2 linked regions of the Oreochromis niloticus genome follow. The protein of the gene in region 2 interacts with the protein of the main gene of each other region in a pairwise test. Links are inferred from orthologs where the notes say so. Each region holds a gene or a part of one and is shown on either strand. Other genes may lie near its edges.

Region 1 (10,236 bases), on a different chromosome or scaffold from region 2:
AGTCTGTGGATCTGTGCGAAGCTTTCAGCGTGAAAAATCCCAGGTGGGCCTGGGACATGATCTGTGCATATCAGGCAATTGTGCACACGCATTTAAGGCTTTATAAGTAAGCAAGGGATGTTGCCTGTACTTTTAGCTTGAGGATAATTTGGATATACACATTTTTAAAACGTTTGTGTGGATTGGAGTGCGCATTTTTGAATCCTCAAAAGTTGCACACGTTTGTAAATTTTAGTTCACGCTTCTGGACAATATCTGTAACACTTTTGAGGCAAATTTCTCTCCATATAAATTTTGACTTATGGATGGCTTCCACACCTTTTACAGCCTGTCTTTAATAAGTGGACCTACAACAGGGTCATGTCAACCTCTGATTCAGATCTGCTATGTCCTCTCGGAAGGAATGTCTGGCCAAATTATTCTTTTTAGGGCAAATAAGTGCATAAAAGTACGACACAATTCATTCATAAACTTCTGAGTTTATGTGTAGAGCTGCAGGAAGTTCAACCTGCCCATTAGGCCTTTTTTAAACATTTCCCAAAGAGAACTGGACGAGACTTGGTATGACAGTGTTGTTTAGAAACTTTTCATTGTATTATTTATAACAATACTAACTTTGCCTTTAGTTCTGAAAACTTTCCGTTTTCTGATAATATAATGTAACCTGGACCAGAAAACTATTACTACTACCACTAACTGCACAAGGAGTCACTCCTCAAAGCTGTGTACATCAAGGCTGATTACGCCCCCGCCTTCCTACCAAGGAAAAGAATCCGAGGAATGTATCCCCCATCTGGGGTGAAGGCTTCATCCTTTGGCTCCTCTTCATCCTGGTAAAATGAGAGATTAGTGGAAACAAATCCAAAAACCGCCAATGTGTCAATTCTGGCTTGTAGCATGACGATAAAACAAGAAATAAAAGGGAGCACAAACATGATATTTTTACATCAATACACTGAAATAAACAGAAAATACAGGAAGCAGCGGCTTTAAGGTGCTTTCAATATATCCTCACCTCCAGGTTCACCATGACAAAGTTGTGTGCCAGTTCAGAGATCTCCTTGGATTCAGCAAACTTGGGCTTCAGTGCTGATTATAAAAACAACAACATAGTAAAGAGGTTATTTTACACACAATCAAATGCAAAAAGCTTTTATATTTACGGTGAAGAGGCTTAAATAATTAAAAGCCTCTGTTGTTCTTCAGTTTTTTTCCAAGTTTTCAGATCTGCTGAATTCTCATGTTGCATTTCACTTGTTAGTGAAAATAGTCACTTAATTTTTTCCAACAACCCTTCCGGTTTTTGTCATTTCCTGATTGCTTTGTTTGTCCTTTCCACATTACACATCTGGCTGAGATCCAAAGACGGGCTTCCTGATTAACAACAACATTGTAGCTACGATTTGGATCATTTAAAAAAGCTGATAAAAACAGTTGATTCTGCTTTCAACAGAAATATTTTTCCATGAATATATTTTCTGTAACATTTAAATTGCTAAGCAATATCCTAAGTTAATTAAACAAATATAAAACTCAATTTCAGGCATTGTAGATAGATCTCATCTCCAGCTTTTGTCATTCTTGGACTTTACTAGAGGGGCTTTGCATGACTCAAAGTTCAGAATCATCCTTGTTTAGCTCCTTAGTTCATCTTCTGTCTGAAAGAAGCTGGTTTAGCTCATCTACCTTTAAGGTGACTTTCTTCTGATTGGCTGTTCATCGTAAACAGACCCCAGGGTTTGAGCGGATGCACAGATTTAAATACATGGGAGTCCACATACACAAACACCTGACATAAGCGACTTAAAAAGGCCCAACAGCATCTGTACAGCTTCAGGTGTTTAAGGATCCCTGCATTGCTACCTTACAGGTTTTCAGGAGCTTTCTGGCAGGCTGCTAAACCACTGGCAACATGCCCTGCATTAAAAAAGCAGCCCTTTAGGGGCTTTTTAAAGTATCCATACAACAACCTGTTCTCGGAGACAACACAACATGTTCATTCTAGTTCATGAGCCACACATCTAAAGTTTAACATAGTAAATTCTCAAATGTCCACATTTTAACACTCAGTGAACCAGTCACTTACAAAAACATGTGATATCTTAAAAGGTGTAAGCGTAATTTCAACACCTTGTCCTGGTTGTTCAACATAGGGAGCCTACTATTATTACGTGTACATAAATTTACAGATCATAAAAGCTTCACGTGTACAGTATTTTATGCCTTTATGACTCAGACAGCTTGTCTAAATTTTAAATGTTTTATGTAATAAAATAAAATAATTTTTAAGCAGGAAATATGCAACATGTCTGGCTTTGATTCTCTCTTCAAAGTAATGTCAATCGACTAAACTCAATAATGTTCACCATGATTTTAATTACACCTAATTTGGCGTTTTTTTACTCTATAGAACAGATTTTTAGTCAGACAGTTTCTGCAAGATGAACGGTGGAACATTATTTTACCTTTGCAGGCTCCACACCAGCTCTTGTGGATGATGACCATGATCGGCAGCCCGCTGTTAATTTAAACACATTTAAAAGTGCATCAAAACCAAAATTAAACTCATGCTGTTCCAAAACTGAAAACTTCTCACACTGCTCCATGTTTTTAAAGCCTGAAATTGCAACATATGAAAAACTACACCCGCTCGTTGACAACTTGTCAATCTGCTCCTCTAACCAGGACAAAAATAGATGTATGCGTGGGTTTTTTTTAAACAGCTGCCTCAGGCTAATCTTTGCACAAAAGGCTCTTTGGCAGCATTTCAGGAAGTGGTTGTAATATTTTTGCTCACCTGGCTTCAGCTTCTTTCTTGGCATCTTCCAGCGTTCTCCAGTGGATGTGATCACCAAATCCTGCAGGCAGAGACAATCAATAAGCACACCCACACTGTGTATCTGGTATTGTGTTGCACAACAGGGTGTGTTTGCCCTAAATACTCAATCAATAGATAGAGGTACAAGGAAACAAATACAACTGAATGGCAAGTTATTTGATACTATATTGTGCTATAGCAAACAGGGCTGAAACAAGGTACTTTATACAGCTACTTCACCAGTAATAAAGGTAGTAGTAGCTTATTACTAGTAGTACTATTAATAAGCATGGAATACATTTTAGATAAACAAAAATAAAGTGGCAAATTTACAAAAGAAAAAACTATTAAAATTAAATTCTGGAAAATTTATGAGGAAAAAGATGTAAGAAAAAATGGGCAAATTGAGAATTAAAATGTGGCGAATTTATCAGAAATAAACTGGCAAATCTGCAAGAAGAAAAAGCTGTTTGATTATAAGACCAAAAAATTTTATTTAACATCCTTTTTATTTTCTACTCTTTTCGGGTACTTCTGAATAATTAAGAATGCAATCAATGGATTAATATTTGTTTCAGTACTAAACTTTAATCGCATTCACTAGCTTGTTTCTTTTAACGCCCACTACTATTTACATACATATTGTACAACTTTTTTTTCAATCAAAATGCATCTACATTCATGTAAGGATATTTTATTTAAGCATATATCTCATTTTCCTGTGTGCTTGGCGAAAAACATTTTATTTTGAGTGAGTATAATTATAAGTTAAAACAGTATTAATGAAGAAATCGTTAAATGCAGGTCTGTAGAGGACTTAAAGCTATAAAACAACTCGGCTAAGCTGACCAGAAAAACTACAAATTATGTCTGCCCGACAGAAACACTTGCATACACCTGCTCAGTAAACCAGGACACGGATATTAGGTTTCAGGATGAAAGACATCTGGCTCTGCTCTGCTTTGCTCTCCCACTGGTGACACTATCAATGAAGCTGCACAAAGATCCTGCTTTAAATCAATCATTAACTCCAGATTTAAACTCACCTCTCCCGCTGGTGGCTTGCACAACCTCCTGGAAACACGATAAAGAGATTAAAAGCTGAAAAACTGAGAAAAGGCCGAAGTTCAGCAGAGAGGTTTGCATTTTGAGTGCTTTTCCTTGTCAAACTGCGGACGGGAACAGCTAACAGCAGTGACTGATAGTTAGCCAAGTGACCCGGATGTATAACAGCCGCGTTTCACAATAAGAGCCCCATTGAGAAAGTTGGGATTTTACAAAATAGTGCACAGGAAACAAAATTATAAAACAAACAATAGCCTGAAACAATAGCCAAAAAAAACAAAAACAAAACCCTCACAAAGTTAAAAACTACATTTTATAATGCAAAATTATATATTATTGTTATATGACAAATTTATGTTAAAATTCTTCCTGACTTTATTTTCTGTTTTTCTTTCTTTCTTTTTTTCTTTCTTTCTTGAAAAAAAAATACTAAAAGAAAGAAACTGGGTGGAGTTATTTCCAAGAAAAAAAATCCAAAGTTTTGTTACTAAAATTGTATTTGAGAGTAAAAAAAAAACGCAAAATTGCTGTCATTTGTGTGTGTGTGTGTGTGTGTGTGTGTGTGTGTGTGTGTGTGTGTAACGTTGGGAAGGTGTCTGGGAGCCATTTTGAAACAACTGCAGATTCCAAGATCATAACTTCAATTACCTGTACACAACTACAAGCTTCCAGACGTGTCACCACTTTTCCAAGGTCTGGAAGAAGACGCAAACTGTGACCTTCAGATCAGAGGAAACAGGTTAGGATAGGTCAGAAACAACCCAGGCACAACCAAGGGTCAAGCCTGTCATGAATTAGAAACTGTTGGGACATCAGTGTTACTGTCCACAGTGAAGTGAGTTTTACATCACCATGGTCTGAGAGGTGCTGCTTCAAAATCAACACCTTTGGGCTCGACTGGAGTTTGCAGCCATTCATATGGACAAACCAAATGGCTTCTGGAGAACAGTTTGAGCACAATGATGAGAAGTATGTTTGGAGTAGTAAAGATGAGGCTTTTAAACCTAGGAACACTTTTCCCATTGGTCAAGCATGGTGGTGGTAGCATTACGCTCTAGGACTCTTTTGCTGCCAGTGGTACTGGTACACTGGCTAACATTAAGCTTCTAAAATGGCCTTCCCAAAACCCCAACTTCAACCTCTATTAATAATTTGTGGACTATGCTTAACAGCCGAATCTGTGCCAGGAAACCAATTGAAAGTTTACCAAATCTACCAAAAAGATTGATAAATGGCCTGTATTTGTATAGCGCTTTACTAGCCCCTAAGGACCCCAAAGCGCTTTTACACATCCAGTCATCCACCCATTCACACACTGGTGATGGCAAGCTACATTGTAGCCACAGCCACCCTGGGCGAGCCACCACTGACAGAGGCGAGGCTGCCGGACACTGGCGCTACCGGTCCCTCTGACCACCACCAGTAGGCAACGGGTGAAGTGTCTTGCCCAAGGACACAAGCCGGGGCTCGAACCAGCAACCTTCCAATTGACAAGGCAAACTCCCAACTCTTGAGCCACGATCGCTGATATTTGACCAATCTTTTTGGTCAAATATCAGCGGTTGAGATGCAATTTTAACCAATCATTAATGGGATTTTGTGCATATATACCCCTGGGTTAGAGAAAATCCAAAATAAACACAAACTTGTGCACACAGTTCTTGTTTATTTAAATGAATTAAAGGTGGATATTGTCCAGTCATACCAACCTGAATAAAGAAAAAATCGAAAAAATCATGAAAAGCCCCAAATTACCATGACATTAATGTCCGTGACGAATGTATGTAAACTTCCCTAAAACTTTCATATTTTGTAATAATCATTTTGTGTTTGTGGGCGTGCACGTTTGTGCGCGCGTGTGTGTCCGCGTTTTACTATTGGCCAACGGTGATTCATTTTCCTTTTGGAGGGGCGGGTCATATGACATCACATCCACATAACCGCGTGCTCTTCGCTGCTTTGTCAGATAGTGAAGCTAGACGACGAAATTCTAATATAACACCGGAAAGTCGCGCCAAAATAAAAGTTCGAACTACATCGAAATATAGCAAATATACAATATATTTACATATGTCAGTTAATCTAAGTTTAAATTTAACTTGAGATATTTTTAACATTTGTATTTATGTCCTTTTCATCTGGATAAAAGCTATATAACATCGTTTGACGGGCGTTATGTAAACTTTATAGTGAAAATCCCAACAGGAAATGTATATGATTGCTGCTGACTTAATGATAGTTTAAGCTAAGCTGGGTGGTTAACATCGAGACTAGTACAACTGACCGTCAGCAAATTCATTACCGCAGGTAATTTGGGGGGTATTTCTCGGCAGACATCTGCGCTGGTTTGTTTGCATCATTGGATTTGAGCTTAAATTTAGTTGTCGATACCAAAGCAGGTGCGTTCAGCTGCTTTCTTCTGGCTTGATGCTAGGATTAGCTTAGCTACTCAACTAGTTAGCAGCCTAACTAGCTGCAGTTATCGTAGATGTAATTTAAAACGACAAAGCCCGGATATATCTCTTCATCACATTCAGTGTATAATGGTCAGCAGGTTGAGTATAACGATCAGATTGTCAGTCAGCTCATTTCCAGTTTGTTATTTTGGGGGATTATTGTAGCTCATGCTGGGACTATTGTATTTCAGCAGCCACATGCGGCGCTCCTTAGGCAGATGGTGGTTTTAAGAGCTGAAAAAAACAAAAACTGTTTTCTTTCCCTGTTTGATAAGCATGGGAATAAAATCATGTTAAACGTGTGTTTTTCTTTAACTTTCAAAACAGAACACTATGAATCAAGAGAAGCTCGCTAAACTTCAGGCTCAGGTCCGGATAGGTGGAAAGGTAAGAGTTTGCTGGATCTCTTCTTTTATTCTAATTATGGTAACTTAACAGATGTCACATTATGGATTCAACTCTCTTGGGTTCATTTTCCTGCTCATTTCAAGGTGTGATGGTATTCAGCTGAGGTCAGGTGTTTCCTCCTGACCTCAGCATTCCCTTTTTGGGGGAGGGCAGAACTGTGCCCCCCTTCATCTCTGGCTCTCTGGCTTTGTTCACATTTATTGTGAGGCTTTCAGTCACACACTAGGTGGCGTTATTTGTTTTTCTTGCTCTGAAATTCCTTTAACCTCACATCGGCATTCTCAACATTTTTTTTTTTTTTTTTAAACTGGAGTGACCCTCAACAGACTTTTGTTTCTGTGTATACATCACAATGAATTTATGGTGCTGAAATATAGATGGATAATGTCTAGTTTAAATATTTGGGTGTGAGTAAAGCTCTTGCTTAAAATAAAATAAAGGTCAGTGGACACTACTTTAGCTCACTGGGTGGAGGAGGCGACCGGTATCTCACACAGCTTAAGCACCTTTCTTTGTTTTCTTTTCTTCAACCTACGGAAGCTTTCTGATAATTCAGCCATCACAGAAGTTTGATTTGTAACTCTATTTGCTTCAATTGAGCAGCGTAGTTTTAACTTTTGGAATAACTTCCCTTTTTTGGGTGTAATATTTTGCTTACTAGTGCATCAATACTGCCCATGTTTTGCTTAATATGGTCACATGGAAGGTCACATGGTGTACAGTAAAGTATGTGTTTTGTCTGGGTACTTAAAAAAAATTGTACTTGTCCAGAGGAGTGACCTGTGCTGTGACACTGTGAACATAAACAGGATTTCTTTACATTACACAGCTTGGCAAAACCCCCAGTATCACCACCGTGGTTGGCAGCTTTCTTTCTTAATCCAGTTATATATAAGTAAAGAAAGCAGTGCTGCAGAAAATCCTGTGAATTCATATGTTTGTTTATGTTGTCACTCAGTGCATGCTGAGTGCTGCTGTTTGTTTCTAATGTGACATTGAATCTTCACATTACTCAGTGTGTCTCCCATATACCAATGAAGATGACGTGGTGTTTATCTTAGTTCCAAAGTGAAAACATTTCCTTTGATTTTGTTGCCTGTTGATAACTAGCCTGGAAATAGGCTTATGCTCTATTAGCTGTATTGCTGGCACTGTAAAACAGACTTGGTATAAAATTACCAAGCATCAAAATGTGTGTTCTGTATCTCTAAATGAATTCAGGTACATTTCTGAGACTGCACCAATTCTACTTTAATTATACTGCTCGGCTTCTTTCAGTGGGATAAATTTTCTTCTTCAGCAGTTTGAGATTGAGTAACGTGCATAACCTCCTTTGGACTAGGTTATATGTTTAGCACCAGTCATGTAAAATAAGCGAACTCATTATGTCTGTCTTTATGGTACACTGCTCAGTTCTTCCTAACTGGACAGATTTTTAAATTTAAAGTCAAGCATGTTCCAGACATTGTCGTCATCTACTTTCAGCCGCTCCTTTTAGTGGTCGCCATAGTAGATCACCTGCCTCCATCTCACCCTATCCCTAGCATCTTCTCTGTCCGCCTTCACTGCATTCATGAAATCTTCCCTGTGGTCTTGCTCTCTTCTTGCAGCCTGGCAGTGCCATCTTCAACATCCATTGTCCAATATATACACTCCCCCTGTTCGGCACATATCCAAGCCATCTCAGCCTTGCCTCTCTAACTTGAGCTGTCCTTCTGATGTACTCATTTCTAATCCTGTCCATCCTGATCACTACCAGTGAGAATCTTAGCATCTTCAGCCCTGCCTTCTGTCTTTTTGCCATTGCCGCCACTGCTGCAGCATGACGCCACAGCATGTCGCCGCAACATGTTAATGAAAAGGTTTGGTTCTCTGTGTTTGCTTGTTTAACCAGTGACAAATACACAACAGTGGTTGTACACATGGCAGGTTCTTCAGTTTTCCTACTGTTTACACTCACAATGTTGGTGCATGTGGGAAGCCTAACTTTCAGCTGAAAATTCCAAGATTTCCAACTTTCCATTTCAAATGGAGCACTGTATTTTTAGCTGTTTGTGGATGTACCGGCGCTGCTGCTCTGCAGTTTTGACACTAAGTACTAGTGGCCAATGGAGGCTCTCCATTTTCTATTAGTTAATCTGTTTTGTTTTTTCTATTTAAAATGATGGTAATGAATGAGCCAATCACAATCATTGTGGGTTGTGTCAGTGCAGCTGCTTCTGGGGAAATTTGGGGTTCAAAATCTTTACCAAAGACGCTGACCTTGAAAATTACCTGACAACTGCTCTGCCTCCTGAGCCACAGTATTTATAGATTAATGTAATTGTCTTGAAGAATGCACTCTGAGATGGGAAGAATGAGACACTCATTTATAATAATAAAAACAGGTCTTTTTCTGTGAAGGTAATTTTATGTCCATGACAGGATGACGCGTGTGACCTTAACTATGTTTGACATTCTGGTTCACTCGGTTATGAAATCCATTTTTTTCCCCTTCAGGGAACGGCCCGCAGGAAGAAAAAGGTTGTTCACAAAACTGCAACAGCTGACGACAAAAAGCTGCAGGGCTCTCTGAAGAAACTGGCAGTGAACAACATCGCAGGGATAGAAGAGGTGAGCCATCAAAGGGAAATTAATGCTACTGTTACTCTCTGTCTGTTCTATTTTGATTTGTTTCTTTCTGAGGATCCTGAATTTTTTATCATTATGTCATGCGGCATACGAAAGGATGAAAGACGGGGGGGCGCCTAAGTGAAGCGCAGTCATGTCATCTTCCAGTTTATTTTTAGGGAGCTTTCAGCAAATGGGCATACCATAAAGTGTCCTTGTTACATCAGAGCATAAACAAAAAAGGGACCCTCACCAGATGCACATTTTTTTTTTTTCTTTTTTTTTGACTTAATATACATTTTGTCTTTACAGCATACTGTCTATATTGTTAAGATAATTACAGCAGTTAGTTTTGTTGGGTTTTTTGCAGGGCCTGTACAGCGTGGTGATTTTGGGCTAAATGTATATATTTTTTTGTTACTTTGGCATCAAGCATCAAATAATATATTTTGTTTTCCATTGATGAATTTGATTATGCTCAACCCAGCCCCTAGCTTAAATCTGTTTACCTTATATGCCTGTTTAAATGTGCTAACTGTGGTGTTTAGTGCCTCAGGAAAACCATGATTCATAGACCAGTCTTAGATCCAACAGTCTCATACGTCTTTATTTTGGTTGAATCACATCACACACTTGCTAATTTGGAACCTGATACAGTCACATATCATAATCTGCACAGTGGGTGTTTCTGGGACAGGCCCAACCAAAACTACTCAAAGGACATTAATGCATTTGTCACAGATTCTTGAAAACTGAAATGTCATTCTACTGTACTTCTGTATTTGTAGTACTTTATTTCCTCAGAGCATTTCTGTTTTTGGAATCCTCTGCCCTCCAGAGCGTCTAATATACCTGGGCTGGTGTTAATAAGCCTGACAG
Region 2 (10,595 bases):
CACAGAAACATGCAGGAAGGCCTCCACCAGTGTCTGAAGCCCTCACTAAGACCCAACAGAGGCCAGACAGCACATTCCAGTCCCACCCGGGCAGCATGGACAGCCAGGAATAGGATCCCACTGCACTGAGGGAGCCGAAAGACAGCGAACAGACCCAAACCCCAGGAAGGACACCGAAAAGCACAACCAGGGTGCCAGGACACACACACCCTAGCGGCAAAGGTCAACCAAGCACATGCTCCCCACATTTAGATCACAGGCTGAGGGTGTTTTAAAGTAACACTAACAATATGTAAGGATACTACTTTAACCAAGCTTCAGATGTTTCAGAGTTATAAGCTCTTCAACTGATCCACCAGCTTTTATATCTACACTATTTTATTATATGCAGGTGCAAATCATATATTAAAATTACAAATATTGGTCACCTCCTCTGTCTGAATTTATTTAAATAGCACAATAAATTTTGCGTCACTTTCACAAAAGATTTTAATGAATAAAAGCAGGTTTCGTCTGGGTGGTTGCCACTAGTAACAAAAGAGTTCTGAAGTGAGTTACTTCTGTGAGCAGGACATATGAAGCCAAGAGCAGAAAAAAAACTGTCTGAAATAGAGTGTTCAGAATGAAGCCTGAGCTTTTGGCTCAATGGGGCCTTTTTAATATGAGTATCCATCACTTTAACAGTATATATATGATAGATAATGAGGAAAATAAGACAAAATTAGATTCAAATGCACTTGAGAAACATCAACTGAACTTGCACTGCTACATAATCATTTACATCGTGACAAATGGAATTGAAACTAATCATGGTGCCTCCAGTGATGATAAATGTAATCAGTGTGTTCCCCACCCACAGCAATTTGACAGCACAATTCAATAAAACATTCCAAACCCTGTGGGGGATGAATTTACAAAAAGCAAGAACAGACACAGAAAGGTAGAAGTTTAGGGATTATTTCAAACTTTGTCCATGTTTAATATGATCAACAAAACAGCAATAATAGGAAATCATAAATTAAGTAATAATAATACAAAATAAGGTAATGCATACATGTCCACTATGAAGCGCATCAGAGCTGATGCAAAACATGCATAATAATAATAATAATGTAGAAGCTCACCATATTTATTTATGAACCTAATGTAATTAGATGTGAAGTGTTTCAAGATTACCTTCATTCTTAAGCAGCTCTGCTCGTTCGATGTCTTCAGGAGATGGGGAGCTCTCTGGTATGGTTAGATTGTCATTCTGTGCAAATGTAAAATAAAAGAGTCAGTGAATAAACACACAGGACATTCTGACTGGACACAAAAAAAGCACTGGTGTAATTAAGTCGTCATAATTGTACTGTGTATTTTACAATACTGTAAAGCATGCACTACCCACCTTGAGCAGGGCATTGAGGAATATCTCTCTAAGTGACTGTGGCACTGAAAGATGACAGTCACTGGAGCTGATCTTGAAGGTGGTCTCCAAGCACTGTATAGCAACTGCATTGGAGAATCAGCCAACATATGACAGAGTAGTTTTGTGTTAACTGGATAATCATGTTGAGTCAGAACTTGGCTCTACGCTCAGAGCAAGTCATTTGAATAATTCTTTTCAACAGCACTGCTTATCAAACCCTGATTTTGGTCATGTTTTCTTACTACCGTGACAGTTCTTAGCTTACTATCAAGAAAAGGGACATGATGTATGTACAGTTTGTGCAGATTCAGAACTCTGAAATGGACGAGACAAGGCAGAGTGCCCAGTGTTTGCACAGACACTTTCTAAGGCATAAGTGCAGTGAGTCGACCTACCTTCGAGGCTTTCCTGCTCATCAGAATTCAAAGTACCACAATGTGTTTGATCTCGTAGGAACTGCACAATAGAGAATGCCAGGCGCTTTTCCACAGCCATTTTTACCTAGAAACTGGTAGGGACAAGAAGGGGTTTGGAATCAAATGGAAAGGAAACCACTCAATGGTGACTGAATTACTAATTCACGAGGTGCCATTTCATAATAAAAGTAACAAACACATGCTTAAATAATGCTTAACTATAATGCTTAACTATAACTAAGTCAGTATAAAATACTGTAATTGTGCTTATTTAATCAAACTCGGACACAGACTCTATGCAGTCCTCTGAAGTACACACCTACTGCTTCCATAGGAATTATAAAGGTAAGCAGCAGGCAAATGCGGGTTATCAAATGCACTTGATTAACTTTTGCAGCTTGCTGGTTTGGAGCATTTAGGTGTGTGTTCACCTCAAGGTCAGACCATGCAATGCTTAGAAAAATGGCAAAATACCCAAGAGCTACATCTCACACTCTACAGGGCTCAGTAAGCATTTTAAATGTTTAATTTTATGACAGTACACTTAGAAAAAGACTAAAATGTTTTGGAAGGCTTGCCATGAGAAATCTTCTTCTCTCTAGTTTGCAAACTTGCATGTGAACAACCCACAAGTCTTCTGGGACAATGTCCTTTGGACAGACAAGACCAGAGTGTTGAATTTAAAATGAGCACAAACACTTTTTACCAACTGTCTGGTGGTGGGCTGATGATTTTGGCTTGTTTTTTATTTGATTTGTTGAGCCAAAAATCCTCCATAGCAATGTGAGAGAGTGACAAAGTTATACATTAAGGTGGTTCTACAAGCATGTAGTTTTTCACTAGAGTGCATACAGTCCAGTGAAAAGTTTTTCAAGACTGTATTTCCTGGCTGATATAGCAATCAGACAATTTTATTGAATTATGCTGTTCTGCCACAAGTATATAAAAAATGTAGAATATTTAATAAAGGTTAATAAAGAATGACCTGTTCCTTTTTCCAGTTTAATTTCTGATTTACAAGTTACATGTTTATATTATTGAATATTTTTTAACCCTAAAAATCAATACGGGCATTGTTATGCAAAAATTCAGTATCAGTGTGACTCTATTAAAATGGGCACTACTTCAAAACAAAGAAGCTGGCTTAGGGAGCACATTTTTGGTGCTTTTAATATATGCATTTCATTTTTTATTCAGCAATACATTACGTTTTATATTTTCAGGTTTAGAAGAGGCTGAGATAGTAGTTATGACCTAATTATAAACCTGGGCTCGACTATCCCAGGTTATTTTTTAGGTGCCAGTAGTTATCTTGCATTTGTTAAGGACTCTGTAGCAGTGAAGGAGAATATCAAATGACTGCATTGCATTTTGATAGTAAATCTCTACAGCTACAAAGTTGCACTACAACTGATACTGGCGATCTGCAGTTTCTTGTCATTTTATTGCCTATAACAAAAAAAAGCCTTGCCCCTCAGAAGGCTAGTTACTGCTTGATTTTTCTAAGTCGGACTGAGGCAAAAAGTGTGTGGGGAAACTGGGGCAAAAAAAACATGGCCACAGAATCACAGTGAGGGATGCTACAGACACAAACACTATTGCCTCATACGTCTGTCACGTGCTGAAACCAAGCGTTATGTTCATTTGAGTCTAGCTAGCACAGCTACTCCTCCCTTCGTGTGTGTTGACACACGTAAATGCAGTGATGCAGAAGCTGTGATGTAATAGCATAATGGGTGTTTTCATTCACTGCACTGACTTTATACGTTTATTTTAAATAAATGCATTGCTAAAATAAAATTATAATTTAGCCAGTGGCGCTGGCAGGTGTTTGTCTTTTAAGGAAACCTACACCCTGACGGTCCGGACAAACAAGGCTCGCGCGCTGCTTGTGTGATGCTGGCTAAAACAATCACAACCCTTTACCAAAAAAACAAAACAAGACAGGAAAACAGGAGGAGGAGAGGAAACAGAGGTCATCCTCGGAGCCCTACAAACAACACGAAGTCATTTTAAAAATAACACTCTATTAAAGGATGCTGTTCAGTGTGTGTCCCCCCTCCCGCCCACCTACCTGAGGTCTTATCCAGCTGTCTGCTGCTACCGCGTCATGAGGAGGGCTCAAGTCGGATCGATCGCGTCTTCCTCCTCTGCGCCTGCGCGTTAACAACGGAAATAAGAAGCGGTTCCCACGCGAGAAACGGGGAGAGATACCGGTCTTTGCTGCAACTACAGGGACTGAGCCATAGTAAGGCAGGAAGAAACGGGTTAATTTTATTTTTATGTATTTTTTTTTTTTTTTGCTGAAAGAAATCGCATGATACTGCTGGCATGTATCTGCTAACAGCTATAGTTTGCCGAGCACATTTCAGGTATGCTAAACATAGTCCACTATGGACTAGTCCACTAAATTGTGGTTGTTTATTACGTATGTGTGACAGATTGGTGAACTACGTTCAACAACTTTAAATTGCTAATTGCAGTGTGTTCCGCTTCCACGGACACCTGTCCACAATTAAAAATAATTTAAAGTGACAAAGTGACAACTCCTGCTTATTGGCACTTTAAGGATAACTGAGCTGTTTTTGTACGTTTTGGCTGCTTGACAGTTATTCCACGCTTTTATGAACTTCGTTTGAAAGGCTTCCGCTCGCACTGCCATGGCATGAAACTCTACACTGATGGATGAACCACGAGGGAAAAACATTACCGGTTATAGCATGGAAAGAAGTGTATCGAGTGTGTCCATGAAGATTGTGCTTACATTAATACCACCTATTCGAGCTGATCGGTTTCTTGACTATGGAGCAACAGAAAATATTGTTCGTTTTGGGGGGCGGTGGGTATTAAAAGGTCCAATTTTTTTACAGGGTCTGTAAACCTCTCCTGAGAATGACCATCGCTAGTGGGTCAGTGCTGTCTGCCAGAGACTGCTCTCAGGCAGGGCATGTGAGGAACACACTGAGGTGGAACCTGTCTCCAGATGAGATCAGGACTATGACAGACAGCTTAATTGCCAGAGTAAAGAAGGTCTATGACGACGTTGGATCCCTAAATATAGAAAATGTCTCTGTTGAAAACACCCTGATGACCTTGGCTAATGCTAAGATGGATTATGCATGTAAGTGTGCTGGTGTATTCTGGTTTACAATTCCATGAAACCAACAAACCCAACAATGTTTGAATCCCGCTAATGAGTATACACAAGCTAACTATATGTTAATAACATCAGTAAGCTATACTATCACAGAGAGTTATGCTGCACATGTGAAAATTCTTTAGTTCTTGCAGCAGTTTCTTTGCTTACATTACTCCTAGCACTGTCTGCAGCATAAGAGTAGCATCACACCTGAGCAGACTGTGGTGTGGAGTCAAGTGGTGTCTTCCTGTTACACTTCCTAACTAATTAGTGACATTTCCTATCCAAGGGCTGATGAGTTTATAACATGGTGAGGCATCCATCCATCCATCCATAGCTCACATGAATGATTACTCCTCCAATAGTATTTATCGTAATTTAATCAAAGTTACATGCAATGATCAGCTAATAGAGCTTCACCCAATCTGTGCTCAAAGTCAAGGTCACGCTTGTGGTTTTACAGGCAGTAACATGCAAACTGTGATTGATCATGACCCTGATGAGCTACTACGTCACTCTGGCGTGTATATGTGTTTACACATTTTTAAAAAAATTAATTGATATTGGAATAATTTACGCCCTTGTGTACCATCATCAGAAATCTAATGTAGCTATTCTCTTCTATTTTTTGTCTTCATTAGGAAGGAATACAAAGGCTTTTAGCTGTTGTTTTTTATTATTCTGTTATTTTTGTAACGTTCACCGTCGCTGTTTTTGTTTGCTTTGCTCCCTTAGCATCACGCCACGTTCTTGCCTTCCCTCAGTATGTTTGTCCTTCTAAGGAGCTTCGATCAGCGAGCACCGAAGCTGAAAAGAGACTGTCTGAGTTGGACGTGGAGATAAACATGCGGGAAGATGTGTTCAAACGAATCACTGCCTTGCAGGTACGACTCGAGCCACATTCACTTCAAGTAAAGTGAGGACTTTTGTAAAAACTGATACCTTTATGAGGCCACACAGATAATGACGTGTTAAAGCAGTCTTAATCATAAAAGGCTAATGTGTGAGGATTGGCTGCATTTATGAAAATCTTAAACTATTTTCACACTTCATGTCAGCCAGAGGCCAACAGATCATAGAGGCGCAAGGACTACTGGTTCTTATTAGACTGGAAACGAAATGTAATCTCATCTGATCAGTGGCAGCCAGTGCCATATGTTATTTCATGCTGTGCTGGCTCCCTGGCATGCAATATATAAATAGGTGAATAAATTTAGCAGAATGCCTGCTATTCTACCTGTATGAGAAGATGTTTAGTGTTATGATTGTGTTTTGGTAGAATAAACAGAAAGACAACCTTTCAGCTGAGGAAAAAAGATTCCTGGACAGACTTGTTACACTGGGCCAGAGGAAAGGATTGCACCTGTCTAAAGATATACAAGAGGTAATGTCATGTGTGATCTGATTATTAATATGGAAGTCATTTGTTAAAGTTACAGGTTAAAGGAGTTTAGAGATTAATTCCAATGTTTCATAATTGAAAAGAAGAAGTAAGCAAATAGAATCACATTGAAAGTGCCTGTAAATCTTTGCTTATCTTATTAGATAGTAAAAAATTAAAATCTCTGTGATGTCTTTCGCTCTGTGTTCTCTCTCCTAAGGAAATAAAAAGAACTTCCAAGCTCATCAGCGAACTCTCCATCGAGTTTAACAAGAATCTGAACGAGGAGAGCAAATTTCTTATTTTCTCTGAGCACGAATTAGGTGAGCTTGATACGTGAAACTCATGAAACGCTGCCTTGAGAGCCACGCTTTAACCGTATTCACTGATTCTCTTGTGACATACTTGCTCAGGTGGGCTAGCTGCCACTTTTCTCAGTGGACTGGATAAGACGGCTGAAGGACGGTATAAAGTGACCCTGGAATATCCCCATTACTATCCACTGATGAAGAGGTGCCATAATCCTGAAACAAGGAGAAAGATGGAAATGGCTTTTAACAGCAGGTGTAAAGAGGTAAACCGCAGGCTGATGATTAATATTTATATCCCAAATTTTAACCCTGTAACGCCAAGCGGATCATATTTGATATATGAGTTTCTAAGACCTCTAACAATCTGATTCTTTGGTCACTTATAGGTTTTTGTTTGATTAGGATAAGGATACTATGACCAATAATGCTGGATATACCAAAAATGATACAAACTTATTATTATTATTTTTTTAGTTTCCTGAAGGTTCAATAAACACTCCAGTTTAAAAAAAATAAAAATAACTATAAGTCACATTAATGTTGGACAGCTATGGATCCATACACATGTGCAGGTGAAATGAGAAAATGTGTGATATAAAAAGCTGCGGACAACAGGCCCTGGTGTTGTTGTGGTAGCTACTCAAGCCACACTGGGAAGCTTTTTCCTTTAATTTGTCGCCTGCTCGTATGTCTAAATGACATACAAGGATACAATCAGCAATTGCTGTCACTTTAGCACATTAATGAAACAAGCAATGTTGCATATCCCATGTCTTGAGAGGGCTGAAGTTGCAGCCCAGAGAACCTGCTTGGTGAAACCACATATTACTACTGGTTACCAAATGTGTCACAGAATCAACTCAGGCTGGAAACCTGTTTTAATAAGCTTAATTAAATGATTTAACTGAGCTGCGTCTCTCGTTTTTTTCCCCCAGGTAAACACGGCAATCTTAGAAGAGTTGATACAGCTGCGGGCGAAGGTTGCACACTTACTTGGTTACGGTAGCCATGCTGAGTATGTGCTGGAGATTAACATGGCTAAAAATGCAAGCAACGTGTCTGACTTTCTGGGTATGGTCTCTTTGACATCTGACCTCGCTGCCACACACATACACATGCAAACATTCCCTGTCATTTAAGATGAGCTCTCCCGCCTCCTGATAACTGCCTTAAAGTAGGAAAAGAAACTCAATAGGACAGATGAATGGGTGTGCAACTCCACACGCAGTCACATAACATGCAGGGTGAAATGTAATCAGTTACTAATGACAAATTACACAACATCAGCTTTTTATAATTAGTAGTGGCTGTAATCAGGTTGAACAACTAAAAGCATGTCTTTAATCTCAAAAAGTGAAATAAACCAGAGCTCACAAAAGGAGCACAAGAAGCACAGAAATTCAAGTCCAACAAAGGAAAAAGACAAGACTGTATACATGCACAGAGAGATGCTCAGTAAGAATAAATCATAGAATCAGAACAAAAGCAAAAGGTTAAAGTACAAGAGGCACAAAGAAAAGTTTTTCCCACAGTAAAAACAGGAAGTGTAAACTAGAAAGACAAGAGAACTAACAGAGAGACAAAGACAAGGAAGCAGTGGGATACTACAGAAAGAAGAAGAAAGGAAACATAAGAAATGACATAAATAGAATCAAAACAGGAACCAAAACTCAAAAAATATCACACAGGAACCCAGAACCGCACTAATAGTTTTCAATGCAAACAACAAATTTTGAATATTCAGCATTTGCAGATTTAGAACAGATTTCCTCTACAAAAACGTTCAACTTTCATATTCTTTTTTTGAGTGTGCAAAGGGAGTTAGTTTGATTTGGGCTTTAAAAAGAAGATAAGAAAGTAGACAGCAAAAGGTTCAAAAAAATTGCATGCTTCACATTCCGACTAAGGAGTTTTTCTTTTTCTGCCTTTACAGACAAGTTCCATGAAACGCTGAAGCCCGTGGGAATCAAAGAGAGGAAATACATTCTTGCGCTGAAGAAGAGGGAGTGCCTGATGAAGGGCTACCAGTTTGATGAGAAGATTAATGCCTGGGACTTACCCTACTACATGAATCAAGTGGAGCAGCGCAAGTTTGCTGTGGACAAGGACAAACTAATCGAGTATTTCCCTCTTGATGTGGTGACAGAAGGGCTGTTTGGTATCTACCAGGAGCTGCTGGGTCTCATATTCACAGAGGTGGAACAGGCTGACGTGTGGCATGAAAATGTCAAGCTGTACTCAGCCCGGGACACTGAAACAGGGGAGGAGATTGGTCAGTTCTACCTGGATCTGCATCCAAGGTAGATTATGTGTCATTTTTTTCAGAGACAAGATAAGATCCTGTGTTTGATGTCTTTATGAAGTGTGAGCTCACTAACATTCACTAGAGCTCTTGATCTGTGTGATAGACTTCAGCCTGACTGTGACATTTCACCAGGGAGGGAAAATATGGCCACGCAGGTTGCTTTGGGCTCCAGCCTGGCTGCAGAGGCCCCGATGGAAAGCGCAGGCTGCCGGTTGCGGCCATGGTAGCCAATTTCACCAAGCCTAGAAAAGGTTGTCCTTCTCTCCTCCAACACCATGAAGTGGAGACCTATTTTCATGAGTTTGGTCATGTCATGCACGAAATCTGCTCTAAGGTCAGTCGCTATGTTCAGTCAGGAAGTTATTGATATTTATATACTGTGTGCTTATGAATAAAAATTAGTTTTTCTGTGTATGCGTCAGACTGCTTTTTCAGAATTCAGCGGAACAATGGTGGAGACAGACTTTGTGGAGGTGCCGTCTCAAATGCTTGAGAACTGGGTTTGGGAAAAGGAGCCTCTGAGAAGAATGTCCTGTCACTACAAAGATGGTACCTCCATCCCAGACGAGCTGCTCGACAAACTGATTGCCTCCAGAGTTGCTAACACTGGTCAGACACCTAAACTTTGCACAAAAAAGTCTGTTACATTTATGTGTAAGTGAAGAGTCTCTGTTGATGTGTTCACTTCAGGGCTTATGAACCTACGTCAGGTAGTCCTTAGTAAGGTGGACCAGTCGCTTCACACCAGCCCACGTGCAGACACTGCTGAGGTGTTTGCAAAGCACTGCCAGGACATCCTGGGTATTCCTGCTACACCAGGTCAGCTTTAGCTTCAGCTATTTAGAATATATTTGAGAAATTATTGCATTAGAATTTCTATCAGTGATGCGGATTTACATTTTATAATAAACAGTCCACTCTGGGCATTAGTAGTTTGTATTCAGTGTTTTGTATGAAGCGCACAGACACTATCGTTTTTCTTTTTTGGAATTTGTATTAGCGATTTGTAACAAAGATCTGCTCTCTGCAGGAACCAACATGACAGCCAGTTTTAGCCACTTAGCTGGAGGATATGATGGTCAGTACTATAGCTATCTATGGAGCGAAGTCTACTCCATGGACATTTTCTTCAGTCGTTTTAAAAAGGAAGGCATTATGAATCCAAAGGTTGGTTTTCTGGTTGAACATTTCACTCTAATGATGTCTTATTTTTCTTGAAACTGTCTTTATATGTGCATTTATGCCCTGAACACAGGTTGGAAAAGAGTACAGAAGAGTGATACTGGAAGCTGGAGGCTCTGTGGATGGGATGGACATGGTGAAAACCTTCCTCGGACGTGCGCCGTATCAGGATGCCTTTTTCCAATGCAAAGGACTGGTTAACTCACAAGAAGCATCAATGTAATCTGATGTGATCTTTAACTGTTTTTGTCATTATTATATTATATCTGGATGCAGGTAAATGTCAGTTGAGAAATAAGGTATTATTACTATCTTCAGGATTTCATACTAGAGTTCTGTCTGCCTTTGTTTAAATGTCCAGTACATCACGACAGGGCCTCGTCATGACATGTTCAATGTGTTTTACAGCCTTTTTAATTCGTCATGGCAGAGGTGTTACTAAAACAGTAA

What was found. The genes of interacting proteins can lie anywhere in the genome.
Region 1: the proteins of sgtb (region 2) and txndc12 interact in binary tests that used the Homo sapiens proteins (3 or more experiments, as listed by UniProt). The two-hybrid records come from large-scale screens. The link is inferred for Oreochromis niloticus from reciprocal best matches to the Homo sapiens genes SGTB and TXNDC12.

What each region holds. Positions count from the first base shown.
Region 1 is NC_031982.2:25,252,827-25,263,062, reverse strand, and holds the start of txndc12 (thioredoxin domain-containing protein 12), read right to left. Parts: upstream 4,047-10,236; 5' UTR 3,965-4,046; coding exon 3,865-3,964; intron 2,859-3,864; coding exon 2,798-2,858; intron 2,519-2,797; coding exon 2,466-2,518; intron 1,090-2,465; coding exon 1,016-1,089; intron 831-1,015; coding exon 761-830; intron 1-760. Other genes in the region: transcription factor BTF3 homolog 4, read left to right, coding at 6,673-6,726, 9,247-9,360. UniProt on the Homo sapiens protein: Protein-disulfide reductase of the endoplasmic reticulum that promotes disulfide bond formation in client proteins through its thiol-disulfide oxidase activity.
Region 2 is NC_031972.2:13,434,507-13,445,101, reverse strand, and holds the start of sgtb (small glutamine-rich tetratricopeptide repeat-containing protein beta), read right to left. Parts: upstream 4,003-10,595; 5' UTR 3,902-4,002; intron 1,920-3,901; 5' UTR 1,907-1,919; coding exon 1,807-1,906; intron 1,495-1,806; coding exon 1,391-1,494; intron 1,253-1,390; coding exon 1,177-1,252; intron 1-1,176. Other genes in the region: nln (neurolysin, mitochondrial), read left to right, coding at 4,159-4,199, 4,698-4,948, 5,702-5,850, 6,246-6,350, 6,568-6,670, 6,761-6,921, 7,594-7,729, 8,592-8,958 and 5 more. UniProt on the Homo sapiens protein: Co-chaperone that binds directly to HSC70 and HSP70 and regulates their ATPase activity.